Diceros bicornis minor: one gene and its partners. The protein of the gene in region 3 binds, or shares a complex with, the protein of the main gene of each other region. Links are inferred from orthologs where the notes say so. Each region holds a gene or a part of one and is shown on either strand. Other genes may lie near its edges.

Region 1 (7,470 bases), on a different chromosome or scaffold from region 3:
CCAATCTGCCATCTCGGTATAAAATTAAAGGTAACCTTGGACAGTTAAGAATACCCTGGTGTTAGCAGGCATATCTTAGCTTGTTTTAACTATTTTAAGTCCTTCCTCTTCTTTGTCCTGATGTTTTTATCTTTCTCTTGGATTTGAAATCCTGAAACTAATGATACATTTTTAACTGGTTTACCTTAAAACTATAAATGTGAAAAGGTTAAATCTTATTTAGCAAACATTTTAAGGATGAAAAATAGAGAAACAAAGAGCAACCAAAAGGATAGTGACTTGTCTAATTTTAGAATGTGGTCACTCAAACTACTGAGTACTTGTGGCTCATAGTAATTTAGTGGTTTAGTATTTATGACATTAATATGCTGTTTTCACGTCTAAGCTATAGTTTTACCTTTTTTTCACTACTATGTTATATTCTAAAACAACTTAAATTGCTTTAATTTCCAGTGTAACTGAAGGATTAGAAGCATTTGAACATCTAGGACAGTTTAGACACTAATCAGGTCAACATATAACCAGCCATAAAAACTATAACACTGTCTTCTTTAAAAATAAAACCAGTTGTTCCTGTCTAGTACCTTTAGAATGCAAATGTCTCCAAAGTCAGTCAACTTAAGTCATGACAGTTCATGTTTAAAGTAAGCAGGAAAATAACTTGGAACTCATTAATTACAGCTTTAAAGACAGAATTATACAGCTCTATCAGTTTTTTCAGTATCCAGTATTCATTTCCACGTTACATTCCAGTGACTAGATTTAGAGGAAATATTATAAGTCAAAGTTTGTATAAAATTAAAAATTGGATGTTAAAAAACATGGTCCAACATAACATACTTATGAACAGATACTTATTCAAGATAGTTTTTGCCATAATTTGCAAGGCACCAGAAGCCTTGAGGATGGGGTTTTATATAAATAGAAGCTACTTGTTATTCAGAGGAGGTGGTGCAAAAAAAGACAGCTATTTTCTTTCTAAACACTCATTGGTGTTGAGGTAAACAAACAGGGAAAAAAAAAAATACAGCCTAAGCACACTAGAGCAGAGCAACAGTCTCTAAGTCATAAACGGGAGAGAGAAAAAAAGGCCTCTGCTCTAACATTTTAAACAGGGGACCGGGTGTTTAAACTGAAATTTATTCTCTGGCTTTTAGACCAGATTCATGACTTCTACATTTTATCTGTTATGTCTTGACTCCCACTTTACCATATTAGGAAGAAGAAACTATGTGCCCCCAAGATTCTTATACCAATAAAACTTTTGGAGGCAACGTAGCTCACCAAATGAAGGAGAACATTAGAAAAACACTAAGTGACAATAGCAAGAACCAAACTATCTCAACAACTGAGTGATAAATACTGGTGTTACTAATGTAAGGAGCATGAAAAACATTGCAAACTCTAAGCAACTACTAAAGTGTTACAAAAATTCCAAATCTCCTAAGAGTTAAAAAAAAAAAAGAAAAGAAAAGAAAAGAAAGAAACGAAAGCATTGTGAAGGAGGGGCCCTGAGAAGGAAGTCCAGCTTGAAAGGAACACATAGGTCAAGAAGGGGAAGGAGGAGCACTTCTACTGACCGTCCCTCTACCAGGACATGCTTCTAACAGCTTCAGTACTATCCCCAAGAGGCAATTTTAGGCATCCTTAGGGAGCGATTTAGGCAACAGGCAAATGTGCTTTCAGACACAAGAACTATACAGATGATGCTGAAATTTCTAACCTGGAAAACATGCACTAGCGAGAGAAAACAGCCACGAAATCCCAGACCGTAATTCCCAAGCTTCCTGTTGAAAAATAGCGGTTCTCAGACATATAAGCCACCACATTTGAAACTGACCCAGCAAAGTTTTCAGCTGGCCCTCACTATCTCTCAAATCCTCCTTCCTCCACTTCCCTGCTGTTCTTTCCTGGCACACAAAATATAGGCCAACGAGCAGTGGGTGGGTGAGGAGGATGTGAGAGAAAATTTGAGAAGTAAAAAACGGAGCAACTTAACAAGCACATGAATGAGACTGAAGGGTCTAATAAGGGCAGACAAACAACGAGAACAACTGAAAAACGCACTGGGTTTCCTGGGCAGCAGTGAAAGCTCAGTGTTTGTAGGGTTTAAGCAGAGGCCAGACTACCTACCACTTGTCAGAGAGGCTGCAGAGGGGACGGCTGCTTTGGGTGACCTCTAATGTCTCTTCCGACTCTGAAATGTTAGGATTCTTATTTCACACAAGAGAACGCAACGGTCATAGAAGCCCACCGACTTAGAACCCTGTTAAATAAGCGGCCCAGGCGGCTGCTTCCTAAACACCACTCCCACCTCTCCCTCCCACATCTGCCCACCCCGCCCCCTTTCAAGATTTCCACCTCCACGTGCAAAATGCCTCGCAGCACTCGCCCCAAAGCGGACAGGCGCCTTCCCCTGCAAAGCACCAAAACTATGACCCCCTGGGGGAAGTGAGAACACTCTCCCACCCTGGGTGGCAAAAAAGGAAAAGTCTCAAATCCAGCCTTTCCCCCCCGAGCCAGAGCTGAAGGGGTAGGGGAGGCGGGACGCAGAGAAAAACTTTCTTCTAAAATTTTTCTTCCAGAGAGTGGAGGGGGTTAGAGAGAACCCCGACGAGTCCGGGGCTGAAAGGGTGGGGGGAGGGGAACCCCTGAATCGTTTAACGGCCGGTAGGGGGAGGGGGGCTCCGGAGATGGAGGGGGCGTGAGATGGAGAAGCAGGCCTGGGAGCGGGGTCAGGGAGCTGCAGGGGTTCCTGGGGGTCGGGAGCTGCAGGCGTCCCCCCCACCTGGCACACAAAGCGGCTGCCGCGCTCGGCTCTCACCAGATCCTTTGTGTTTTCCATCAGGGCCTCATGGGTAGGGGTTGTCCGTGCTCCCCGGGCCAGCGGCGCCCCCTCCCCGAGCTGGGGGCAGGCGCCTCTCCCCGGGACTACGGCGACTACAGGGGGCCCCCGGTTGGGCCCAGACCGGTGGCGGCTGCGGCAGCCCCCGGATTTCCCCCCTTTAACTCGGGTGGCCCCAGGATATCAACAACATTAGCATAGCCCTCCCTCCCCAGCGCGCCTGCGCCGTGACCCGCGCCCCGATTGGCCCACTTCCCTACATACCCTCCTCTCTCTCTTCCAGCGTGGGACCCTCTGCAGGCTCCGTACTCCAAGGGCCGTACCAAGACGAAGGGGGGGGAAAGGCAATTGGGGCTCGTGTTAAGTCGACTGGTTAACAAGTCAGGAGGAGGAGCAGAAGTTTCGCGCGATCATCTCAGTTTATACTCTGGCTTGCTTGTGCTCCTTTCAATCAGCTGCAGCTGCGACGATGTGTTGGAAAAAATTTTCCACTCCGCTCACGCCGCTTCCCCCTCCACCCGGAAGATTGGTCCTCCCGGAGGAACTCCCATACGGGGAGGGGCACGTGAGGAGAGTGGGCGTTACGTAGGGAAGAGAGTGCTGGTCACGTGGTAGCAGGCTGCGCAGGCTCCTTCCGGCCCCCCGGGGCCTCAGCCGCCGCGGACAGGGAGGCGCCTCGGCGCACGCGCAGTGAGGTTCCACGTGAGCTCCTGCGTTTCTTCTCAAACCCAACGATGCCGCCGGAACGGAGGAGCCGAACGAGACTGGACCGAAGAACCGGAGCGAGGCCGGACCGGAAGACCCGAATGAGGCCGGACCGCAGAACCGGAGCGGGGCCAGGCGGGCCTCCCCGAAAGGCTGCTCCTTCATCCCAGCGGAAACCGCCGGCTCGGCCGAGCGCAGCGGCCGCTGCGATGGCAGTCGCGGCGGCGGAGGAGGAGAGACGGCTCCGGCAGCGGAACCGCCTGACGCTGGAGGAGGACAAGCCGGCCGTGGAGCGGTGCCTGGAGGAGCTGGTCTTCGGCGACGTCGAGGACGACGAGGACGCGCTGCTGCGGCGTCTGCGAGGCCCGCGGGTGAGGGAGGCCGCGGCGCGCGGGCTGGGCGCGCTCGGGCGGGGCGCGCGGTGGGCGGCGAGCCTCCGGGGGCGGAGTCTGGGCGACCTGCGGCGCCGGGGAGCCTCAGGTGGGAGGGAGCCCGAGAACGCGGGCGCCGGGGATGCCAGAGTGAGTCTCCGGAGGGCGGGGACCGCGCCTTTCTCCGCCCCCGGGTGAGCCGCCGCGCCTGGTATGCAGCAGGCGCTCAACACGTCTTTGTTTCGCGAACTGTGGTCGTGAGCATCTTTCGCGTTCAGCTCCCCCATCCTTACTCCGAAGGGTTTCTTCCCTCGTGGTTGTTCGATCACCTGCATCAATATCTTGCCGTGATTCGGGAGTTCCGCTTCATTTGTAGAATCGGAATTTGCGGGCGCGGGCCTGGGAATCTGCGTTTTAACCATCTCCCCAAGTCTCGCCAGCTTTTGAGAATGACCGTGTGCTTATTTGTCTATTCAACGAATATTTGTGAGCCCGCTGGGTGCCAGATACTTTTTTTGGCGATGAAAATCCTGCGTAATTGATTATAATTTTTCTACTCTTTCTATCACCCCTTGTATCTATACGTGGCTTTTCTTCCAAGGTAGGGAGTCCCAGGCATTGTTCTAGGCACTGGAGGAGACACAGTAATAGACCAAAATCCCTGCTTATGTACTAGTTGCAAAGGCAGAAGATAAAGGAGATAAGTAAAAATCATTATGTCAGTGGCAAGTGCTTAAGACAGAAAGAAAGCATTGGGGAAAGGGAGCTAAGTGTGTGTTGAGGAGGCTTGTGAAATTTCATGTAGGGTGGTCAGGCAAAGCCTCGCTGAGAATGACTCAGTTTGGTAAATGAAGGCGGACCTAGCAAGTATCAACTGATTGCCAGAACCTCCTTTGGTGCTTATGGGAGAAGCTGCAGAAATCTAGTTGGGAGATAGAGAAGAACTACTGGACTGTGTGACAGTTTCCTAGTCAGGAAAACGGTCTATGAGAGGTGGAATTTGTTGGGTTTTGAAGGATCGTAGGTCTTTAATAGAGTAGGTAGAAATCATCGTGTGGTTTTGGGAAAGATCAAGCATGTTTCAGGGGATGTTCTGTGGTCTGGATTTAGATTTGATTGTACAGTATAAAGTTTCTTAAGGAGGTAGGGGGTCAAGAACTTAAGAAAAATGGAGATGTGTGTCTAAGAATATGAAATCCTAATTAATTATGACATTCAATCATGTTATTTTGTCTTGGATGCTAGTTTGCCTCTGGTCCCGTAATTTCTGCAGTTGTGGATTTTTTCCTGCTCCTTCATCTGTCTGCTTACCTTTTGTTGTTTTTGTCTTACTTGGTGTTTTCCTTTGAGCATGTTGACATTCTCTCCCTGACTGTTCCCTCTTACCTCGCCTGTCCAGCGTGTGGTGACATTCTCTAGTCTCCTCATTTTGTCTTCTGCCTCCAGCATTTGCTGTGGTGGCATTCTGTCCCATTATTTCATGAGAGGGCTGTAAAAAACAGAGCATTCTGTAAGCTATCTTAACTACAAAATGTGTCTGTCTGCCACCACAGGATATGAAAAACAGTGCTTGAGGGGGTTTTGTCTTCTCTAGGTTGAAGTACAGGAAGACTCAGGTGACTCGGAAGTGGAGAATGAAGCAAAAGATAATTTTCCACCTCAGAAGAAGCCGGTTTGGGTGGATGAAGAAGATGAAGATGAGGAAATGTAAGTTGCATAATTTTTCTTCCAGAATCCCTGTGGGTACTTTAAAAGTTATTTTGCAGGTTTTAAAAAAGTTCTTTTTAAGAATATGCGATTATGTGAAGATTTGAAAAATACTGGAAAGTATGGAAAAGTCATTCATAATCCCACCGCTGAGGTAGAACCACTGATAGCATGTTGGCATACTTCTCTTCCCGTCTTTTCAGTGCGGTATAGAATAGCTAGGACAGCAGTGTTTGCTGTCAGACCTGAGTTTGCCTCCCAATTTGGCCAGTTCCTAACTGACTGTGGGCATGTTTAGAATCTCTGTTTTCTTGTTTGTAAAATAGAGGTAATAATAGTGACTATGTCAGAAGGCTCTTGAGATTAAATGAAATAGTGTATGTAGAGCTCTTTGCACGATGCCTGAAACCGAGAAAAGGCTAAAAAAAAGTTAGCTAGCGCACACAGTATGTACTTTAATAGATGAGAATCTACTGTATTGCAAGCATTTCTCCTGCTTTTAAAAAAAAGCCTCTATCAACATTTTTAAATGAGTGTATTATTGTCCATTGTATGAATTAACCATAATTTATATAGCTGTTGTTGGACAGATGTTCTGATATTTCTCTTTAATAAATTAATGATGAGATAAACATCTTTATGCATAAACCTTTTTCCACTTTTCTAATTATTTCTTTAAGAAAGATTCTTTGAGGTGGAAATACTTAATCAAAGAGCACAGACATTTTTCAGGCTCTTGATAAATACTGCCAGATTGACCATGAGGTTCTACCAGTTGACCTTCCCACTGAAAGGTTTGCCTTTTCACTCCGTTCTTATAAGCAATGATTTATCTTTCTTCAGACTTTGTCGGTTTAAGGGGTGGGAGATAGCTACCTAATTTGTGTTGAGAAAACATTTTTGTTATTAGTCATTGGTATTTATTAAAAGTATTCTCTATTATGTCTTTGATTATTGGAGACTGTTACTTTTTATTTATTTTATTTTTTAAGTAAAATTGTATGTATTTAAGGTGTACAACATGATTTGCTCTACATATACATAGTGAAATTATTATTACAGCAAGCTAATTAACATATCTATCTCCTCACATAGTTACTATTTTTATTTGTGGTTAGAGCACCTGAAATCTACTTTCTTAGCAGATTTCCAGTATACAATATAGTATTAACTATAGTCATGCTGCTGTACATTAGATTTCTAGACTTATTCATCCTACATAACTGCAACTTTGTATCCTTTGACCGACATCTCCCCATTTCCCCCACCTCCCTGCCCCTGGTAACCACCATTCTACTTTCTGCTTCTGTGTAGTCTACTTTTTTTAGATTCCGTATATAAGTGAGGTCATGCAGTATCTTTCTTCTGTGTCTGTCTTATTTCACTTAGCATAATGTCCTCCAGATTCATCCATGTTGTCAAAAATGGCAGGATGAGACTGTTTCTTAATGATTGTCATATATCAGCTCCCTACATATTGAGAATTTCAAACCTTTATCTGTCAAATTTATTGCAGGTTTTCTCCCAGCTTTCTGTTTGCCTTTTAATTTTGTTTTTAATATTTGACATTCAGAATATTTACGTTTTTATATAGTCAAATTTATGAATCTTTTCTTTTTTTTTGCTGTTTTTAACAGTAAAAAATCCTTCATCAGAGAAAGACAAGTGTTTGCCTGTATTTTTCCTTCATAGTATTTTAAGATTTGGTTGTTATGTATTTAACTCTTTATTTTGCTTGGAATTTATTTTGGTGAATGGCATAAGCTGTGTCTAGATAAGTCATTATGAATTTGAAATGTAAGCTGTTCAAAGGGTAAACTAGATGATCTGAAATATTGGAGA
Region 2 (7,941 bases), on a different chromosome or scaffold from region 3:
TGCTGCCTATATACTTTCTGCAAAACATAATTTAGGCTAATATCATGATTTGATCTAAAAAGTAGATGTCAAATCTCTGAACCCTATTATTGCTTATTCTTGAACTTTAGTAACATATACCTTAGCAAATACAAATAAACAAAAGTCACCCATTATCCTACCATCTAGAAACTGCTACCATTCACACTGAGGTGACACTTTTTCTCTGCATATACCACAATACCATTTCTCTTTAACAAAAAAGGCTACTGTAACTACAGACTTATAATTTGCTTTTATCCTGAACAATATATTGAGAACACTTTTTCTCAGTAGTAAGTGTTCTTTTACATTACTATATGAGTATAACATACTACAGTTTATTTGGTCGTCCTCAAGTTTTAGACATTTAAGTTGTCACCAACTTTTCACTATTATAAATCAATGTTGTGATGAACGTCTTTGTAACTAAATCTTTGTGCACTCCCATGATTCTTTCCTAAGTATTAATTCCTATAAATGGAACTGCTGGGTCAAAGTGTTACACAGTTTTAAGCTTCAATAAAGCAGTCTGCCAACTTGCCCTCTAGAAAGTTTGTATTAATTGTGCCTTAACTTCTAATATTCCACAAGTGACAGTATGAGAAATGTCTAACCTGTCAGTTATCAAATTATCTTTAAAATGCTGTAAAGGGCTCAAAATAATTTCTTCCTGAACTTTAAAATGTAATTTTTGATAGTATAACTACACATGAAGTAGTAGCTTGCTTGTTATGAATACATTAATGGAAATAGCATTAAATAACCATGTTAAATATTTGGAAGATCTGTGTAAAAATTTTTGGCAGGGAGGGGAAGCATTTATCTTTTTTGTTTTTCCAACAATTATCCACATTCACTTAGAAATAGTCTCCACTCTTCTCAACATAAAATTCACTTATTTCAAAAGAAAATACCACATTCAAGTATAAAATAAATAACATTACTGATTATAGCTCCAAGATACCACAGTACAATTTGTATCATTTGGTTCAAAGGTAATGTGAATTGCACATGATGGGGAAAAGATATCATCAACTATGATTAATCTATAGATATCTATATATGATATATATATAAAATCTTGGATGCTTTTCACTGTTGCAATTTAACTAAAAAGATGCTGAAATCTTGTAAATTTTAATATAAATATAAGTCATATATGATTCTTTTAACTTTTGTATATAGTTAATAAGATACAATCAAACCCTCCCACATACTATTCAGAATTACTCCAATAACTCACCCTGTTCTTCTTCAGGTTAGAAAGTTCATCCACAACAATTTTTTGTTCTTTAATCTATTGAAATAAAGAAAAACATCTTAAATCAGAGGTTCTCAAAGTATGCTCAATGAGGGTGCTTTAAAATTAGAGAGATGGGATAGGGGCCATAACGGGCAGTCTGTGACTATGCGGACTCTTGTCAACAGCAGTCTGGGGCGAGGAGGGGGAGACAGAGTTGGAGGAGGAAACAATGAGTAGACTTGCCAAGTGTTAGCCCATTGAGCCCAGCCAGGGAGTTTGGTGTTGGTAACCAGCATCCAGGCAAGGGCGGTAGTTACTAAACAAGGTTTATACCTTTTAGTTACACAATATGCACACAAAGTAATACCAGTTTTTCAATGATTTATGTTTTAGCTTTAAAAAAAGAAAAAAACCCAGCAAATGGAATGAGGGGTGAGTTACTCGCCCCCCCAATACCAATGGTTTTCATGATTTATGTATAAATGGTGCAGCCAGACATTCAGAACAAGCAAGTGGTACTAAATGCCCTACCTGGGGCAGTAAGACCTATCACTTTCCATCTTTGCTTTATTCCTCTTTATATCTCAAAGACTAACACAATGCTGGCACTGTTGAACTAGGCCTCGAAATAGGAGAGGGCTCCACTAAGTGGAAACAAAGTTTTTTTTCTAACTCTTTTCAGTAAAGGTAGTTATTCTGTGAACATGACTGATTACATAGTATCACTATTGCCTCTAAAAGCAGGTTTTATAAAATCTTTGTCCTACCTCAGGAACCTCAGGCATCTGTCATACATCAGTATAAGTGGCTTGCTCTGGTAGTAATCAGAGTGGGCTGTATGAGGTTTGAAAATTCACCCTTGGGGGGGGTTATTAGAGACTTGCCCAAGATGTCACTGTTAGTTTGGGACAGAACCAAAGTAGAATCTAGGACATCTAACACCTGAAAAGCTATAACCATCCCCATCTCCTATATATTTTTTAAAGGTTTTGTCTGTTTATGGCAGTTAAGATATATATTATATTGTCCCCACCTCCTGCCCCCTTTTTGGATGGAGGAGTGACAATCAAATCCGTGTTTTAGGATCATTGCTCTGGCTGATGTGGAGAAGAGAATGGAAGGTAATGATGGACGAAGCGAGACCAGTTAGGAAGCCTTTGCAGGGTAGATGAAGGTGGCTGGTGATAAACGGACATATTTGAAATGAGCTTCAGAAGCAGAACTGACAGGACTTCGCGATGGACGTCAAGGATGGTTCCCGGGTTACTGGCACGGACAACTGGATGGTTGGCGGTGACTTTTCTGAGATAGAGAACATCGGCGGCAGATCTGGGGTGGGCAGTATTTCTAAAAGTTTAAATAAAGAGAAAAAACCCCAACCAAATCTCCGCCTCACTGCCTCCTGGGTCTAATTTCGGTGCAAACTTCAGGGTCTGCCTTAATTGTAGCTGTCGAACGCTAAGAATAACAAGAGAGAAGCAGCTGGGCAAAGCCGAGAGCGGGCCACGCGGCCGCGGCAGACCTCCCCCGGGGCTGAGCGGCGCTCCGTCCCGAGCCTGCGGGCCGCTCGCCTCGTCCCACACTCACCTTGTTGCTAAGATCCTCTTTGTGAGGGGCTGAGTCGTCGGTAGGGACCAGCCCGGCGCCGTCCTCCGGGCGTGTGCCCCGGCTAGGCATCTCCACCGAGGGAACGGTACGCGGGACGCGCAGCGCAGCTGGCGCCCCAGGTGCCTCCCCAGGTGCCTCCAGCCTCCAGCCTCCAGCCCTCAGCCCCCAGCCTCCGCGCGTGCGCGCTCCCAGCGGCTCCACCCCCTCGTTTCCTTCCCTATGAGTCCTACCAATAGCTTCTGCGCACTCACTGGAACGCCTGCGCAGTCCGGGTTTGGCGTGGGAGCAGTTCCGCGCGTGCGCACAGATGCTTAGGGAGCGCGTGAGCAGAGCCTGGTTGTGAAATCGGAGAGGTTCCTGAACTGTCCGCTAGCGGATCGGCTGTGGAAACGGCCTTGTGGTCTCCACTCCCTCGCGTTCTGTAGACTGTGAGTTATATGCGCCCCCCAGTGGTCAATATAAAGAATAGAAGCGCAGTAGAACTAGACAATATTTATTATCTAGGCAAGGATGTGAAGCTAGGCACAGATTTAAGAGACACGTTTTTGGCAACAGAACTGTACAGACTTGGTGAAGTTTTTGTTAACTTGTTATTGGAGTTAAAAGATAAATACAGAATGCCCGGTTAAATATGAATTTCAGATAAATGAATGATTTTTTAGTATAAGTATGTCCCTTGCAATATTTTCAGAATCTCGCTCCAATGAGAAAAATTATCCAAGACTTGGAAATAGGCGAGAGATTACTGGGTGTTCTTTCACAGCTTTTCTGGGCTTGACTTTCTATTGACTGGGGTATTTTAACAATTCTGGAGAGGCAGAGGTAAACGTGCAGATTTTTGTCTGGCAGAGATGCAAATAATTTCTATCTGGTGGGCCAGATAACCCCACAGATTATGAATTATTGTTCTGTAATATATTAAGCAGTTTTGTATCTAACTCTGCAATCCTATCCTAACATTTCTTTATTATATATGCCTAGCTTCTCATAAACTCTCTGAATTGGTTTTAACATCTTACCTGTTCCCTCATTAATTAACGAGCTGAATAAAACTTTGGCCTATGTTCATTTTACATGTGTATGAGAGACGTGGTTTTATATTTTTGAAAATTATACTTTAACATAAGAAATCTTAAGTTTCCATGGAGATGCCCAAGTGAGCTCATGTGATGGAGCCAAACTGTATGGCTAAGGAAGTGTATGTCGTGGGTTGTTTCAGCCCAGGCATTTCTTTTATTGCCTCTTACAGTAAATCCGAAGTGGTTATAGAACTGTTTACTGTATATTTTTAATTTTTACTGATTTTTAGAAATTTTGGTTTTGTTTCTGATTTACGCATGGCTGATAAGTTATTATACATGGGTAGCAGCAGTGATTGGGAATTTGGTTTTATGGTCTAATGATTTGGTGATATCTGTTGGATGATGGAGATCTAGTCTCTATTAGAAAAGACATGACAGTGAATCCAGTTTTTTAGTCTTTTTGTTTGTCCTTTGTGAGCTCAAGTTAATTAAGAATTTCATGCTCACTGGAAAGGAGAACAGGTTTTTGAGATCTGGGCTAGTGAGTTTTTGTGTTTACTTTCAACCTGGGATTGAGGTTGTAAAACTGAAGCTATAAGCTCTCTCTGTGTCTATAATTTAGAATAGCCTTTATATCTTGTTGTGTGAATGTAAAATGTTTTCATACTCCTGGAGGGTATTAATAAATTCCATTGTAATGTCTCTTAAATTAGAGGAACTCTGTTCTGATTGGTCTACAGACACAAATATGCATTTGTGTAAATCTCCCAATTTAAAAAAAGCCCAGAATTTCTTTTTCTTTTTCTTTTTCTTTTTTTTGAGGAAGATCAGCCCTGAGCTAACATCCATGCCAATCCTCCTCTTTTTGCTGAGGAAGACCAGCCCTGAGCTAACATCTATTGCCAATCTTCCTCCTTTGTTTTCCCTTTTTCTCCCCAAAGCCCCAGTAGATAGTTTTATGTCATAGTTGCACGTCCTTCTAGTTGCTGTATGTGGGGCATGGCCTCAGCATGGCCCGACAAGCGGTGCGACAGTGCGCGCCCGGATCCAAACCCAGGCTGCCAGTAGCGGAGCACGTGCACTTAACTGCTAAGCCACGGGGCCGGCCCCCAGAATTTCTAATACTTTGAGTGCTAGACTTATAAGAAAAAAAGTCTTGCTTACAAAAGCTGCTAGCTTAGAAATATTTGAAGAATCCAAATTTATAAAATTAAGGTGAGTCTTTGGAGAAATCAGGCTAGATTAATAATTTTGGTTTAAGAAAGAAAAGGCAATTATATATCTTTTCTATATTTATCAATGTTAAGTAAAATACAGGTACTTTTTAAATAACACTTAGATTTGTTTTCTCATGAAGAGATTAGCTAATCTGAATTTCCTATGCTCTTTATGTTGGTTTACTGATTAAATAAGCTAGCATTACTGCTATGGAATATTTAAGTTTATGAAAAATGTAAATTTGTGTTCACTAAAACGAGTAATTATTCAGACAGACTTTTTAGATCAACAGTAATTATGTTTTATACCATATAAGTTTAAACATAATTCAAAAATATTTAGGTAATTAAAACTCTGAGGTAATATTAAATTGAGTTAATTAATGATTAATCATTAGATAACTAGATAATTTACTTTTAAAAGTTGAATCCTGAAACATTGATTAATAGAAGCATAATTTTAAGTTTATATACTTTTGCTTCTTGTTTTTATTTGCCATAGAATAGCTATCCTTTTGAGCCATGTTAATGGACATGTTCATTTTTCCCACTTTCAGAAGGTTTAAAGGGAATGTGTGTGGCTGTAGACAGTTGTGTTATGTGTACTTATGAGCTTCATTTGCTAAAATGCTTGCATATGACTGTTCTCAATTATCTACCTCCAGTTCTTTCTATGAAATAGAAGTTATTAAATTGGTTAAAAGTTATAACTAATGTGAGTGGCTAAGATCACATTAGGGGCAAGAGTAACAGAGAATGCAAGGTAATGGGATGAGCCTTGTTTGCAAGGAAAAAGATAGTTCTAAAGTAAAGTATCCTTTTGTTCCAGAATATGAAAGAGCACAGTAAAAGATGAAACTTGAGGAAGTATAGCAAGTTGGAGAAGGTTTGATGAAAGCGGATTTTATTTGCCTTGATTTGTAATACCTGATCCTGAAAAGAAACTATGAAATATGTTAAAACTTTGGCAAAACGCAGTTTTGAAGCTTTAGTCACAAGATAATTATTTTTTTTAAACTTTACTTCCAAATATTATATTAATTAAAAACTAAAATTTGGCATTCTTTTAACCCATCTTCTGGCTCCATTCACCAACACCTTTAGAGTTCACCACAGTTGAGCTGGTGGGAACCTATGAACACACCTCCCCTGACACATGGGATGTCATTTTATTAGTGCTTGGAGGTAAAGGTGAGGCTTATCTGTAAAGCTGAAGAGACTGAGCTTCAAATTAGTCTCTAATATGTATGGCATATTAGTCTTCTTTGTACCCCACCTTCTATGGCAGTGGCTGGCAGAGTGGGAGCTCTGGGTAATGTTCGAATTGACTCTTTGACCCACAATCATTTCCATTTTCAGTGGCCGGAAACACTGCTGATGGGTCTACAGCTGTTCACCTTGTTCTGGGGGTGAGTTGTTGCTTATGGCTCTGCCTGGTTCTAATGTTTTTGTTTATTTACAGGGGCCACCCAAGATGACATAATACTAAACCAAGTGGTGATGGTCATATTAGTATGGTGCTAAACTGTTTTCAAAGTTCTTTGACATTTTATCTTATTTTTTCATGTTTATCCAATTGCTTCTCTTTTCCCCTTCAGCTGCTGTAATTCCTGCGTTGGTTGAAGTCACGCTTTAGGGATACCTGGTATCGTTTGTCTTTTCTGGTTCGGGACTGCCCATCTGCAGCCCACTGTACAACTAACTAGGCTGTTTCCTTCTTTCATTTAAGTCCATTGTTGTCATGTATCCTACTTAATAGGATAATTTTGTGTTTATCAATGCTATTTATGCTCTTCCTCTGATGCTACATTCTTAGTATATTTCATTGTGTTTAACAATACATAGTTCACTGTTGAACATTTTATGGAAGTGATGTGTATTATTAACCTGGATTCCAAGGTTGAATGAATAGTTTCCTCAACCACTGTGTTTTTCCTTGCCTTCTCAGTATACTCTAACAGATTTATTTCTAGCCACAGAAGTCTCCTTCCTGTCTCTCCCAATGAGGTGTGAAATAGTGCTGTGGTTCCCAAGTATCAGTTAGTCTGTGGGTGCCCTTCTCAGTATATCAGAGCCCCTGAAAATCTTGTTCAGATGCCTATAGATTTCTCAGTCTTTTCCCCAGATTTACTGAATCAAATCTTTGGGAATGGGATGCAACTGTCTGCTGCATAACATAGTTATGCATTTAACCTATAACCAAAATGACTGGGCTTGAATTTTGGCTTCTACATTTATTACAAGTGTGACTTTGGTATCTCATTAGCCTCTCAAGCCCCAGTTTCCTAATCTGTAAAATGGGAGTAATAATAGTGCCTACCTCAAAGGGTTGTTATGGGGATTAAATGAGTTAATATTTGTAGAGTGGTTCTAACAGCTTTAGGCACATAGTAAACACAATCTGTGTGTGTTTAATAGATAAATCAGAAGCTCTGCCAGACAAATTTGACACAAGTAAGTTTCATGAACCAATGCAGTGGACAGAACCAGGCTGTGAAATGCTTGGCCCATTTCTTATTGAAGATATGTCCTCTCTTCTAGTGCTTTCAACAGGACTAGGGCTGGAGGCACTTTTGGTTGTCACAATAATTGGATGGTTCTGTTATTTCTGATGGGGTAGGACTAACTGGAGCCAATTGAAAGGAGACAGACTGAGCGACAGACTCTTTTAAGAATCCTAGATGAGCAGGTCAAAGGGTGGTCTCAGCAAGCAGACAGAACTGGAAATTGCATGGGGTGGGAGTTGGGATGGGCTCTAGGACCAAATAACCAGAAAGTAAAATCAAAGAGGTATTATTGTAATCTATGTAGGTGATTTGCATCATGAATT
Region 3 (7,240 bases):
TTTGTGAACACATCTTATCTCCTCTAACACCATTCCCCAGTGGAGAAGTACCATGGTCCCACACTTAGATAGCCCTTCAAAAAATGTGGGTTCAAGGAATGCATGTGGATGTGCTATATACCATTTCTGACTCAGCTGGAAATGCACAATGCCCTTAATAGAGCCTAGAAGCTATTCTTCAGATGTTGCATTTCTAAAAAGATAAAAGAACCACTATGGTCTTTCCAAAGAACCCTGTGATATCATAATCCTCAGCAGTGGAACTCCGGGAAACTCAAAAGAGGTAGAAGAGACTTCCCAAACCTTGGCTATGTATTCTTTTTGTGTGTATGTGAGGAAGATCAGCCCTGAGCTAACATCCATGCCAATCCTCCTCTTTTTTTGCTGAGGAAGACCGGCCCTGAGCTAACATCTATTGCCAATCCTCTTTTTTATCCCTTTTTCTCCCCAAAGCCCCAGTAGATAGTTGTATGTCATAGCTGCACATCCTTCTAGTTGCTGTATGTGGGACACGGCCTCAGCATGGCGGGACAAGCGGTGCGTCGGTGCGCGCCCAGGATCCGAACCCAAGCGGCCAGTAGCAGAGCGCGCGCACTTAACCGCTAAGCCACGGGGCCAGCCCCGGCTATGTATTCTTATTCACACACTTGCACCTCTTCCATTTAATCTCCCTCAGTTTAGGCTCCTTCTCTCTAGAGAGATATGTTCAGTGAATTCTAAAATTTAAAAATTATGAACTGAAAGGGCCTTTAAAAGATCACCTAGTCTCTCATTTTTCACACGAGGATATTAAGCACCAGGGAGGCTGCTGATGTGACCAAAGTTATACAAGGACCCAGTAGCTGAGGTGGGATGCCTATTAATTCAATAAATAAATACCAAGCCTCGGTAATGAGTCAGGTTCTGAGTATATAATAACATTACCTGGTCTGTATCCTCAGGAAGCTCATATTCATACAGAGGCAGATAGCATCAGTTAAGAGCATGGATTCTGGAGTCAGATAGACTTGGGTTTAAATCCTTACTCCACCAATTACCAGCTGAGTGACCTGTGACCTACCTACCTAACCTCTGTGAACCACAATTTCCTTATCTGAAAACAGAGTTCCTAATATAGTTAGTGGCACAAATGCCAAGGAGTTTATGGGTAAAGTGTACTAACGTCTGCAACTTGCTTTGAAGAGCAGAAGTGGATTGGTGGATGGATAAATGAGCAGCACCATGGAAAAATGGTGGATGGATATAATAAAGCAATTGAGTAAAATGTTAATTGTAGAATTTAGATACACAGGTAATCACCATATAAGTCTTGAAATTTCAACTATTTTGTATGTCTGAAAAGTGTCATAAGAAAGTGGCGAAGGGACGATTATTAGGGTGGAGGTGAAAAGCAAGACAATGGAGATAAAGCTGCTTAGCACAATGCTTGGCACAAAGCAAGCATTCAACCAGTGTTAGCTATTTGCAGTTAACAGGTCCTCAGTAAGTGGAAGATGGATAAAAAGACATTTCAAAGTCACCCTGACTCTGTCAATATTTCCTTTTTGGAAAGATCATGTTCAAAATGGAAAACAGAGGCTTTTCTTTGGCCCTTTGTATTAGCACAATTAGGCTAGGAGGCAATAGTCTTAACCTCATTATTACTTAATAATGGTTCCTGTGGGTGCTAAGCCATGTCAGAGGCAAGGGGCATGGGTCTGACAGTGCTCAGCAAGCTGAGAGGGTGGCTATAACTATCACAGAGAGAGCACTGATTTGGGAGGCAGAAACACACACGGGTACAAAGCCCAGCATTACCATTACTAAAGTGAGTGGCAAGTGGGTATGTGAAGTGACCTCTCCCACCCTCATTTATTTCATCTGCAAAAAAATACAAAAAGCTTGAATAGTTTTGTGATTATAATGTAGGCGAAAAGGGCCAGCCCCATGGCTTAGCTGTTAAGTGCGCGCCTCCGCTGCTGGGGGCCTAGGGTTCGGATCCCGGTGCGCATCGACACACCGCTTCTCCGGCCATGCTCCGGCCATGCTGAGGCGGTGTCCCACATACAGCAACTCAGAAGGAAGTGCAGCTATGACGTACAACTATCTACTGGGGCCTTGGGGGAAAAAATAAAAATAATAATAATAATGTAGGCGAAAGGACCTGGCATCACTGCCACTTAATAAAACTGGATTTATTTGGTATGAGCCAAAAGAATGCTAGGGGTGTGGGTACAGCAGATTGCTCCTCTCTATAACTCCCACTTCCCTCCTTCAGCTCCCAAGCCGTGGGAACCTAAGTAAGCTTTTTCAGGTTGATCACTTCTCTACTTTAAAACCACCACAGCCTCCCAGTGCGTTCACAAAAATCCAAATTCCTTATCACGGCCGACAAAACCCTGCAGGAACTGACCCCCACCAAAGTATAATAATTATTTTGTTTACTGGCTTAACCGTTTACCGCCTGTCTCTCATCACACTAAAATGTAAGCTCCATGAGAGCCGGGACCTCATCCGTCTTCTTCCCCGCTGTATGCCAGCGTCGCGCGGAGATGGCGGCACGGAGTGGGGGGCTCAATCAAGACCCGTCAATGAGGTGAAGCAACCAGTCAACCGCCCCGCGGGACGTCACTTGTTCTCCTGCGCCCGCCCCTCTCCCAGTGCCAATGCGGCGCCCCCCTGCCGTCCCCCGTAGCCCATTTTCACCGCCCTGATAGAAAACCTCGGCGGGGCATCCCCGCGCCCCTCCCTGCGCCCCCGTCAGCGGCCTCTCGCGGCAGGGCCCTGCTCGGCGCCCCAACTCCCTGGCCGGTCCACCACACCTCGCGCGCGTTCTCCTGGCCCACGAGCCCCGAGGCGGCCTGCTTGGCCAGGCCGCTCTCGTCCAGCCCCAGCCCCTTCACGTGGCTGTGGGACGCGATGCGCTGCGTCTTCGTGGTGCTCTTCACCTCCTCAATTTTCATCTTGCCGATGCCGGAAGCCAAAACCAGCGTGGAAAACCTGGAGCTAGGACCCCACGCTCGGCGCCTGGGTTACCATGCGGCCGTTACTAGGGCGGTTTGTCAAGGCCCGCCTTGGTCGGCACGCCATTGGCGGAAGCGGGAACGCCTCAGCTCCCCATTGGCTCACGGCTGCGCCCATCGCGGCTGCCGGTAGGGCTCCGCCCACCCACTTCCGGCTGTGTGACGGAGTTGGCTTTCCCACAGCCGGCGCTTCCTGCTCTGGCGCGTGGCGCGAGAGCGCAGAGCGGTCGCGCCCGCAGGATGATCAGGGGTTGTGGCGCTGCAGCGAAGTGGGCGCCTGGAGTCCGGCTTTTAATCGTGCCATCCTATCCATTTTTGCATTTGAACGTCATATCCTTCTGCGAAGCTCAAGTTATTACCTCCGTTTTGGAGATAGAGAAACTGAGGTTTAGAGCTTAAGCTTTGACTTTTGCTTACTGAGCTGTTGTCTGACTCCAAGCATTTGCAACTCCCTGCGGAGGCCCAGCTCGGCCAACTGCTCTCACCCTGGCTCCGCTCAGCGTCCGCTGCGGAACTTTGCTTCTGCCTCCGCCCTCTCCCTTTATTTAAGTTCGCTGTGAATAACATTTTAGTTTCCAAAACTCTTCAACCCTGTAAGGTAGTATAATTCCTAATATATATAAAGACGCAGGCTAAAAGAGGCCCAATAACCGGCGAAGAAGGTACAGCAAATAATCAGTAGAATTGGAACTCCAGCTGAGGATTTAAGGCTTCACAGCCTGGATAATCCTCATCCCATGCTCCGACCTCAGGTGAGACAATCAGCCTGCAAATGTGTCCCCTCAGGTTCCATAATGATGTTAACGCTGCCTGCACCACAGTGTCCTCTTCCCATCCATCTCGTCATTCAACAAACATGTGTTAGCACCTGCTGTGAGCCACACTACAACGCGCTGGGGATACGGAGATATAATACAAAATCTCCAGCCTTGACAAGCTTAGTCCTTAGTTGGGAAACTTGCAACATGAGATGTGTGGGAGCAGGTACACCCACGTGGTGTACAAGCCCAGAGCAGGGCCACCCTGAACAGCCTGGGGAGCCAGGGAAGGCATCATGAGGTTTGGCCTGGGCCAAACCCTGATGAATGGGTAAGACTTCCTCAGAAGCAGATAGTATGCCACCATTTTACAGATGAGTAAACTGAGGTCTAGAGAAAGGAGGGACTTGCCCAGAGTTTAGGAGAGCTTGCATTAGGGTTGAGACAGACCTAAAGTCGAATCCAGATGCGGTAGTTTCTGACTGTCACGTCTCTTTGTACTTCTCCATTACGACTTTTGAATTTAGGTTTCTAATTATTTCAGGGTTATTGGGTCAATGTCTGTCTCTCCCACTAAACTACAGGCATTATGAGAGTGTAGATCACATGTGTGTTCATCATTTTGTGTGTGTGTGTGTGTGAGGAAGATTGGCCCTGAGCTAACATCTGTTGCCAATCCTCCTCTTTTTGCTGAGGAAGATTAGCCCTGAGCTAACATCTATGCCCATCTTCCTCTATTTTGTATATGGGACGCCGCCACAGATGGCTTGATGAGTGGTGCATATGTCCACACCTGGGATTCAAACCTGCAAACCCCGGGCCACCGAAGCGGAGCGTGGAAACTTAACCACTGTGGCACCGGGCCAGCCCCGTTGTGTTCATCATTTTAATCCCAGTGCCTGACACACAGCCTGGCTCACAATTAAGTCTTCTTATAAATTCAAATAAGATTCTAGACCCCCACATACACACTTGAAGTCATGCAGTTTTGCTGCATGTATTTAACACACTGGGTTTTATGGGACTTGGTAATTGGTTTCTGTCAATGAATAGAATGTTTTGGCATTTTCAGAGCCTGAAAGAGCAGAGGCAAGGCCTTGGAAGGCTGCGGGTGTTACTGGTGGCCTGTGACTCATCAACCTTAGGGATATCACCTCTAGGACCACCCAGAAGGTTGCTTAGCATCTCATTGACCTATTCCTGGTCATTATGCATAGGTGAGGAGCAATTCCTTTCACCATGTGGAAGAGGAAGCCTTTCCCCCAACTAGTAGTCAAAGTGAGCCACTCAATGGGACTGACTTCTTTGTGTATTGTCCAGTTAGGGGAGAAGACCGTTTTTACATTTATTATTTTAAGCCCCAAACTTTGACACAAAGTAAAGAGAAGGATTTCCTTCTAGCCAAATATGGACGTGAGGGGTGAGATAAGGATTTTAGAACTCAGAGGAATCCTTAGGAGCACTTGGTCCAGTGGTTTTCATATCACATTCCCTGGAGTTATAGAATTCTTTCATGGCCAGCATGAGTGAGGAAGGGGAAGGCTAAGAATGCAGGATACCTGTTCAATGCCCCTGCCTCCCCTTCCACCAGAGCTGTTCCATTTTTTGACTGCTAAAGAACAGTTCGAAAATCACTGATCTGGCCTAGCATTCTCCTTTTACAGGTAAGGAAACTGAGGCCCTAAGAGGGGATGGAGTTTGTCCAAGGTCACAAATCGAGCAATTGCCTGACAATGGCCCAGACCCCATATCCAGTGTGCAAAGAAGCTGGACCTGGCTGCAGAGCCAGGCAGTTCCTTTCATTTTAGCAGAAGACTATGTGATGGGCCAACGTCCAAGACACACAAGGTGAATGAAAGGCAGGAGAGGCCACAGTAGTTGATATGGGTTATTTTGCCTACCTGTCATCCTTCTGACTTCTTCTGACTACCATCACTCAAATTTTCTTTAGAAAACCACCCTTCCCCGACTCTGAGTCCAAGTGCTTTGGATGGGTTGACACCACTCCCCAGCTTTGTTTCAGGGATGGACACGGGACCTGCCTGGCCTATCAAATTATCCCATCCTCCTGGACATGGTGATTGGTGTGGGAATGTGAGCGAGCTGTCCAATGACAGTCATGGCACTTTTACTGGAAATACCAGGAAAGAGAACTTGGGTCATGGGTTTCGAGGTCATTTTTGCCACTTCAAGGGAAGACTCTGCCTGAGAATGAAGCCAACACAAAAGAAAGGAAAGCTGACAGAGATTCCTGATGAAATCCTCTATATTCCCAGACCAAGCCTTGCCCTACTTGCAATGTAATATGGCAGTGACATTGGGGCTTAAAATAGTTTGAGTTAGGTTTCTGTCTGTGGGTACTGAAAATCCGTATCAGTGCAATGACACATATACGAGTAATTGTGTGGACTGCTACATTCCAGAATTGTGCTGTGTGACAACCCCAGACCTGTCAGCTCTCATTCTCTCACTCCCATGACCCTTGCTCTTTCACCTCCAGGCCCTCAACCCTTCTTTTCTCCAGTCCAAGCTTGATCATCTCAACCACTTGGTTTCCAACCCTTCTGCTCCCTCCTTGCCTTGACTTCTTTCACACTTGACCTTTCAACCCACAAGCCCAGGTCCAGCCTACCTCTGCCTTCTCCACTGCCTCATGAAGGCTGCTGTGTATGGCAGGAGGCAATTACCCAGTGGTCCCATGGAGCCATTACACTGTCATGGTCTTCAGCCTCAGCTGAGCACTCAGAGCTGCCCAAGTAATGATTAGGATATTAGTTCAGCTACAGTAACCAAGAGATACAAAATAATAGTAAATTAAACAAGATAGAAGTTACTTTTTCTCACAGAAAGGCCAAGCAGGCATTCTACCTGGTGGGCTGGCTCTATAATCATTAAGGACCTGTCCTCCTTCTGTCTTATTAGTCTGCCATTCCACACACATGCCTTCTATTGCATGGTCCAAGATAGCTGGGCAAGCCCCCCGAAAAGGCTGCATTTGAACCAGCAAGAAGGAGAAAAGGGGGAAGGGGAGGACATGCTCCTACCCTTTACCTTGACCTCAAGTTGCACAATTATTTCTACTCATATCCCAATGGTCAGACTTAGTCAGATAGCTACAAATAGCTGCAAGGGAGGCTGGGAAATGTATTCTTTATCTGGACAGATATGTGCCCAGCTAAAAATTCTATTCCTATGTAAAAAAGGGAAGATATTGGGAAACAACTCTTAGTCGCTAAGATTCTATCTGCCAGGCACTGCAGGGTTCTCCTTGTGTCCTAACTCAAAGGCAGACATGACCTTCCTCCTAGCCAAGGTAACCCTACTAACTGGGTTCCAGATAACAATCTGGGCCTCACTCTATCTCTCAGAGGCCTCACTCCACCCATTAGCCTTCTTTTCCTGTATTTCCATCTGTTCTTCTGGATCATTCCCCAGAGGATTTAAGCATAGTCAATCTTAACCATCTTAAAACACACATCA
Region 4 (7,043 bases), on a different chromosome or scaffold from region 3:
TCAATGCCTGCTTCAAATCACTGTCACATAAAAAATAAAACTTTGAAAAAGGTCCCATGTGAAACTTGTTTCTGACCATGATAAGAAGGATTCTCAACATCAGGGCATATATTTATGCACTGAGGGGATACCCAGGCTACTGGGAAAGGATTCAAGCGAGCTGCCCAAAACAGCAGGGAGACGAAAGGAAATTGTTTTATTCACTTTTTCAATTTAAACGCCCTTATCTTTGGTTGATAAATGCCACCATAACTCAAAAATACCTTGTTATCCTTCAGGAAGAAATGTTAGAAAGCTCCTTCTGAGACAGTCCAGCTTTCGAATGTTATTTGTTCTAATATTGAGGCCAAACAATATCACCCAGAACAATACATCCTTGACAAAATGTTATTTCTCCCTGCCACTCTGGTAGCATTTTGGTGACTTCTCCCCATTCTTGGGAAGGGGGAGATGGATCCTCTGTTAGGTCAGAGTTGTAGAACCAAAGTTTCTGGCGTGGGCCTAAATGGACTTAATCTTAAGGAGGAGACAGGAGACTCTGGCTCTCCTTTCCCAATGCAAAAATATTTTTGAGGTATTCTGAGGGCTAAAAATTAGCATCAAGGGATGCCACCTTCTCTATTTGAATATGACTTGGACATAATTATTTCAGTAAGCAGAGAAGGCATCATGCTCTCCTGTTTAGAGATGAGGCAGCAAAGGCCCAGAGGGTAAGGATGACTTGCCTAGGACCGCATACTTATTATGTGGCACAGCCGTGCCTCCACTCCAAGTCTTCTGACTCCTACTTGAGCTGAATGGAGGAGAGAGGGCCACTAGATTTGGTGTCAGAAAACCAGTTCTTCCTAAATAACTTCATTGCCCTGAGACTCCGTTTGCTAATTTGGATTCTAGAACAATACAATACAATCCACCTCACAAGTCTGTCCGAAAGACAAAAGTAAATAACAAACAAGAAAAGTGCTTTGTAAACTGTAAAGAGCTATATAGATATGAGAGACCGTTATTACACCACAGGAGAGGAAGGAGAGGCTGCAAAAAGGCAACATCCGGCACTCCCCAAAACTGGCAAGGAAATTACTACGGATAGGGTAGGTAAAAGAATGGGGGAAGGCGGGGGAGACACAAATCCGCTTTTCCAACCCAAAACATAAAAAAGCATTCTAAATGTGTGCTCCTGAGAGGCAGCTTTTTAAGTTTGATTTGTTTTTTTCCTGAAGCCCCTAAAGAGAAGGCCGTAGAAAACTTCAAGTTCTCTCTGGGATGACAGCAGCGGCTGTTTCCTCCTCCCTGCCCCCTGCCAATTTCAGGAAAACAGACTTTTTTTGAAAAGTACATAAAGATCTTGGGTTCCCAGTTTGCACGCCGCCGCAGCCCACCGGACAGACCCCACTCGTCCCCAATGCTGGTATGCACAGGCACCACCTCCACCCTTGTTGAAAAAAACTTATATCTCTGTCATTCCAATTCTAAGGTTTATTTCAGAGGCCGCAATTAATTAGTAAGACTCTTGACGCTTTCCTCTGCTTCCAGAAGTGCAAGGTTCCTTGCTGGCCGTGGGCCCCGCTCTCTCGACCTTACGCTCCGACCAACGGGAAACCCCACGCGGGGCGGAGACTCCCCAGGGAAAAAGGGGTCGCCTCCCAGCCCGTGTTCCCTTAGCGCCCCCACCCGGGGCGGGGATGGCTGGGGGAAGCTGAGGAGGCGCCCTCGAAAAGGAGGCGGAAACGCCTTCTGCCCGACCCCTGAAAAGTTGACCGCGACCCCGCCTCACGTGGCCCCTCCCAACCCCGTCTCTTTAACTAAGGCGACAGCAGCGAGAGCGCATCATTTCGTTTCGCCGAACCCATCTTTAAAGCGCAGAACTACTACGACCCATTTGTTGAGTTTTGTGAAACCGTCTCCCGGGACCAAATTCGGAGTTGCAGCCACCACGACACGACACGCCGAATTTCATTATACCGCGGGGGACGAAGGGGATTGCGCCTCGCGTCCCCTCCCCACCTCTGGTCACTGCGACGAGTCCCAAAACTTCCCCACGGCCGGAGAACCGGCCGCTGACCCAGATTCCGCCTGGCGGCGGTCGGCGCGCGCCGCTTCCCGGGGGAGTGGGCGCAGCCGGCAGCGGGCGGTCCGCGGACTCCGCGAGCGACCCCAGCCCGCGCCGGGCGCGACGTCGTCGGACGCCCAAGGGCCTCGAGGCCGGGGGCACCCCCCCGCCTAAATAAAAGAGTTGGCAGCACTGCAGAAAAGTTGGACTAACTTCTCAGGCAACGATGGCTGCGGCAGGGGCAAGCGGGACTGGGGGGTCGCGCCCACGCCGCCGGCCCCCAGGAGGAGGAACATGGGGGGCGCAGCGGCGGAGCGGGCCCCAACACCCCGCTTCCCGCCCCCACGAGGCCAGGACGCCTGACTCGAAGAGAGGCGAAAAGGGCTAAGCCCCCATGCACACACAAAACGCCCCTAGAAACTTAAACCCTTCGCCATTTTAAGTAAAAGATTTTAATGATTTAAAACTTGAAATTAAATATTTCCCCCCAACCCTAACCCCAAGTGAGTCTTAATTCATTACCCCTCCCCACACACCCACCGGGACCCCCAGAAACCCGATCCTCCCAATACGGGGCTAGTGGAGAAGGGGAGGGGGCTGAGTCATCTCACCTCCTCCGGGGCTCGGTTCCTTAACTCCAGGTTAATCCTCTTCTTCATCTCCATGTCCTCCTCCTGCTCTTCTGCTACTACTCTCCTCCTTTACCCTTTCCTGCCTTTCCCACTACCCCCAACCCTAAAATTTTAAAAGATTTGGAAATGAATGAAAAGAAACGCAAATATAAACGCCCACCACCACCAGATAGGTGTGGGGGAGAAAAAAGAGAATATCAAATGGAGTCCAAGGAGTTGGGACTCTTAACTCAGCTGCCCCCACCTCCTTGTCCACACACTCGCGCGCGCACTCACACGCGCGCGCGCATACACACACACACACACACACACACACACACACCGCAGTTCCTTCCCCTTCAATGGCTGCTCAGAGACTGAGCCTCCATGACACGGCACCGCCAACCCCCTGGCCTACACTCCACCCACCTCCCGAATGTATTGGTTAATGCTCCAGCATCACACTCTTCCATTGGACTGCATAAAAGTCTATCCGTCCTCAGGGCGGACCTGAACCAGAAACACTGTGTCTATTGGCTACGACCAAGCGCGCAGTTAACTCCGATAGGTCCAGGAGGGTGTTCGTCCCGGGGAAATGATTTTGAATCCCAGTAGCCCCCCTCTTTTCTTTGTGTGGTTGGCGCGCTTTCCCTAGGCGCAGGGAAGGTTTTGATGCCTGTTGGATTTGTTGGTTGGGTTTTTTTCTCGTTTTAGTGTTAACGGGAGGGAGAAAGCATCCTTCTTGCGTGGCCAGGTTGCGTGACTGATAATTCAGCACAGGGCATGTACTGGCTCTTAGCCATTTTAAAGCACAGCTCCTGCTTTGCAGCCAAGGTGCACAGCAACGTGCACATCACACAAAAAGCATGCCTTCGTGGCTCTGCCCTGCCGGGGACAGGCTGCTGGTGCAGAACCAAGCTGGTATAAAGATGTGTGTTAACTTCCGTCATGAAGGACTGAACGATTTTGAAAGCAGTTGGGTGAAGTATATAGGTTAGGCACCTTTAAATAAAACTACCCTGGAGGAATTGTTACTGAGATAATTGTTGCTTTAATAAACACTAAAACCTTGGAGGAAAAACAGTGCTAGCCTAATGAAAATCAAACATCAATTCGCACAGAAATGGTACTGCAATGCCTCTCCTTTCTAATTTCCCTTTGGTGGTTTCCATGGAAATCTGTAGGTAAAACGTGCTTTTAAAAGTCTGTCAATGTGAGAGAGAAAAGAGCGGGATAAGAATAATTTTTTAAGTTATGTCTTGAAAGTCTAACTTTTCTTAGTTCTTGCTTAAATTCTGTCCTTTTCATTCCCTTATCCCATTCTCAGGATAAATACCCAAAGAAATTCCAAATGATTTGGGGAAGGAAGTGGGTGAATTAGTCCAGCCCCTCTCAGAGCTGAGTGTTTATTTGATATTTTTCCAGTTTCTCAGGTTAGAGACCTTAGGGTTTCCGGAACAGACTCCTCACCACTCCAGCACCACCCCCTCCTACCCCGCTACAGAGACACACAGCTCCTCAAATAGGCTTACATTTAAAATGTAAATCTTTGGTATTTAGCATGTTAAATACTTTAAAAGAAAACAAAATAGTGATTGTCTTCCCCTTGCCAAGTGTTTCCTTTGAATTCTCAAAGAGGAAAGTTTGTGAAGATGAAAACAAAGAGAGAGATTTTGGTATAAAATTAAATCTCTGGAGGGCAATTTGGAGTTAGTTAAGTTTGTTTGTTGTTTATTTGCTTTAATACAGACTAAAGAAACCCAGGATGATATGAAAACTGAACCAAAATGGATTGAGGAACGGTTCAAGGAAGAGTTAAAAAACAAAGGAAGGAAAAAACTGGCTAAAAAGAAACCTGAAAGCACATTTTAGTTCCAGCTTGGGAAGAAGTCCTGTGTTCTGATCCCACCAGCCACTGCAGGGTCTGGAATCTGGAATGGAATCCCAGAGAAAGTTCAAGGAAGGGGATTCAGATTTAGGAGTCAGGCACATACAAGTGATAGTTAAGGCCATGAGAAAAAAATAAGATGTCCACAGAGAATATGTATAATAAGAAGACTATCAGGCAGAAGAGATCAAAATATGGTTGAGGGGAAAGAGAGGAGAGAGGGATTCTCTACCAAAGTAATCAAAGAAACTGAGGAGCAGGTAGAAAAGAAGGAGGTAAATTCGGAAAAAATGTAGGGAAGCCAAAGAGCTTCAAAGAAGAGATGATTATTGGGATTAAATAGTAGGGCTTTTGTATTGGAACACATTAGACAGAATGGGAGAGTATGCTGGAAAGAATGAAGGTGAGAAAAGGCCATGAATTCATTTTACCGTTGGATAGTAGCTTCAGAAAGTACACCATAGGGCCGGCCCCATGGCTTAGCGGTTAAGTGCGCGATCCACTGCTGGTGGCCCGGGTTCGGATCCCGGGCGCGCACTGACACACCGCTTCTCCTGCCATGCTGGGGCCACGTCCCACATACAGCAGTTAGAAGGATGTGCAGCTATGACATACAACTATCTACTGGGGCTTTGGGGGTAAAAAATAAATAAAATCTTTAAAAAAAGAAAAAAAAAGAAAGTACACCATAGTAAGCTTAGACAGGGATCCACCAAAATGGGCCTTCTCCCCATAACCATTGTCCCCACCCTCATATCATCTCTCATCTGTATTATCTCAGTACCTTGAAACTTACCTCTTTCCAGTCTTAATCAAGAAACCAGGATAAATAAAATGCTGGGGGAGGAAAGATTTCCCCATAGGGTTGGTGCACAGAAAGAAAGGTGCCTGAGAAGAGGCTGGATGAAGAACATTACCAGGCTTGTAGATGGGTGTATGGAGCTAAATGAAGGCTGAAAAAATGAAATATAGTCAGGAGAAAAGCCCAACTCATGAACTTAGAACATGTTTGAAGCTGAAGTAATGAGGCAGGGTTTAAATGGTAGAATGAAGAGTGAGGTTAAGTAATTAGGAGGTGGATGAAAGCAAAGGAGCAAGGAGTGGAATGAATGAGAGGGTGGTTCAGAACACTGCTTTAATCCACCAAAAAGAAGCATGCATCAGGATATTATTTAACTCAACAGGTCCTTTTTTTGTGTGTGTGTGAGGAAGATCAGCCCTGAGCTAACATCCATGCTAATCCTCCTCTTTTTGCTGAGGAAGACTGGCCCTGAGCTAACATCTATTGCCAATCCTCCTCCTTTTTTTACCTTTTTCTCCCCAAGGGCCCAGTAGATAGTTGTATGTCATAGTTGCACATCCTTCTAGTTGCTGTATGTGGGAGGCCGCCTCAGCATGGCCAGACAAGCAGTGCGTGGGTGCACGCCTGGGATCCAAACCCGGCCGCCAGTAGCGGAGCGCGGGCACTTAACCACTAAGCCACCGGCCGGCCCCTCAACATGTCCTTAACGTTCAAAAACTAAACTCATCTTGTGCTGCTGAACATCTTCTGTTGCCCCTCCAGATCCACTCTTCACCCTTCTCCATCCACCCTGCTCTGTGACTCAAAACCCAGAGTCCTATGACTTGCTGGGTTTGGTACATGGGGGAGAGGCATTGGCAGGAGATCGGAAGTCTGGAGGATGGTGAGGTGGGAGCATTTATTCCCCAACTTCCTCAGTGCCAGGTGGTTACAAAAGGACCCAGTCCCTCTACTGAAAGCCACAGATCCTGTCAGGGCTGTGGTGAACACTGTGATGCATCTCCCAGAAATTTCTTCAGGAATGAAGGACTTATTCCCCCTAGTACTGGGAGTACTGCTGGAAGATGACCTTCAGCTGTAGGGGATTGCCTTGAAGGGGATTACCTCGGCTGAAGAAAATTGCCTTGCCCAGGGTTATATATACCCTCTTCTAGGGGCAGCCCACATCCAATGAGTGATCACCGCAGAGATATAAAGGCCCAGCCAGCCCTTTTGCCCAACTTAGACAAACTCTGAAGGGTCATTGATCCCAGCTCCAGAGCACCCGCCGCGGGTTGGCTGAGGCCTTTGTTAGGACTACATTGCCATTCAATTTCTCCCACTGCTTAATCCTGCTTCCTTCTCCACCCTTCCACAGATATTGCTCCCAATATCATTCCCCAATATATGTCCTGACTGCTGTTTTCATCTCAGAGTCTACTTCCTGGGGAACCCAACATATGACACTGGCCCTCTCCAAATACCTACCCTCTGAGGAAGCCCAAACTAACCTATAGGAAAAATCATGTGGAGAAGCCTCAAGCCTAGATGAAGAGAGTGAGAGGTACCCACCCAGCCCCCGGCTTCTCCAGCCCCCAACTTTTCCAGCTCCAGCCACTGTCTGATTGCAACCACATAGGAAATCCTGAGCCAGAACCACCCAGCTGAGCTCTTCCCCAATTCCTGTCCCACAGAAACCGTGAGAGATAATAA

Evidence for each region.
Region 1: RUVBL1 (region 3) and MBTD1 share a complex: the UniProt entries of both Homo sapiens proteins name them as parts of the nuA4 histone acetyltransferase complex. The link is inferred for Diceros bicornis minor from reciprocal best matches to the Homo sapiens genes RUVBL1 and MBTD1.
Region 2: RUVBL1 (region 3) and ASDURF share a complex: the UniProt entries of both Homo sapiens proteins name them as parts of the PAQosome complex. The link is inferred for Diceros bicornis minor from reciprocal best matches to the Homo sapiens genes RUVBL1 and ASDURF.
Region 4: RUVBL1 (region 3) and ANP32E share a complex: the UniProt entries of both Homo sapiens proteins name them as parts of the SWR1-like complex. The link is inferred for Diceros bicornis minor from reciprocal best matches to the Homo sapiens genes RUVBL1 and ANP32E.

What each region holds. Positions count from the first base shown.
Region 1 is NC_080757.1:35,216,932-35,224,401, reverse strand, and holds the start of MBTD1 (MBT domain-containing protein 1), read right to left. Parts: upstream 3,018-7,470; 5' UTR 2,846-3,017; coding exon 2,825-2,845; intron 2,198-2,824; exon of another isoform or gene 2,134-2,197; intron 1-2,133. Other genes in the region: UTP18 (U3 small nucleolar RNA-associated protein 18 homolog), read left to right, coding at 3,580-3,921, 5,516-5,628. UniProt on the Homo sapiens protein: Chromatin reader component of the NuA4 histone acetyltransferase complex, a multiprotein complex involved in transcriptional activation of select genes principally by acetylation of nucleosomal histones H4 and H2A.
Region 2 is NC_080749.1:68,663,791-68,671,731, reverse strand, and holds the start of ASDURF (ASNSD1 upstream open reading frame protein), read right to left. Parts: upstream 3,022-7,941; 5' UTR 2,942-3,021; coding exon 2,852-2,941; intron 1,319-2,851; coding exon 1,265-1,318; intron 18-1,264; coding exon 1-17.
Region 3 is NC_080741.1:92,873,017-92,880,256, forward strand, and holds the start of RUVBL1 (ruvB-like 1), read right to left. Parts: upstream 3,020-7,240; 5' UTR 2,943-3,019; coding exon 2,802-2,942; intron 1-2,801. UniProt on the Homo sapiens protein: Possesses single-stranded DNA-stimulated ATPase and ATP-dependent DNA helicase (3' to 5') activity; hexamerization is thought to be critical for ATP hydrolysis and adjacent subunits in the ring-like structure contribute to the ATPase activity.
Region 4 is NC_080743.1:54,715,674-54,722,716, forward strand, and holds the start of ANP32E (acidic leucine-rich nuclear phosphoprotein 32 family member E), read right to left. Parts: upstream 3,017-7,043; 5' UTR 2,716-3,016; coding exon 2,662-2,715; intron 1-2,661. UniProt on the Homo sapiens protein: Histone chaperone that specifically mediates the genome-wide removal of histone H2A.Z/H2AZ1 from the nucleosome: removes H2A.Z/H2AZ1 from its normal sites of deposition, especially from enhancer and insulator regions.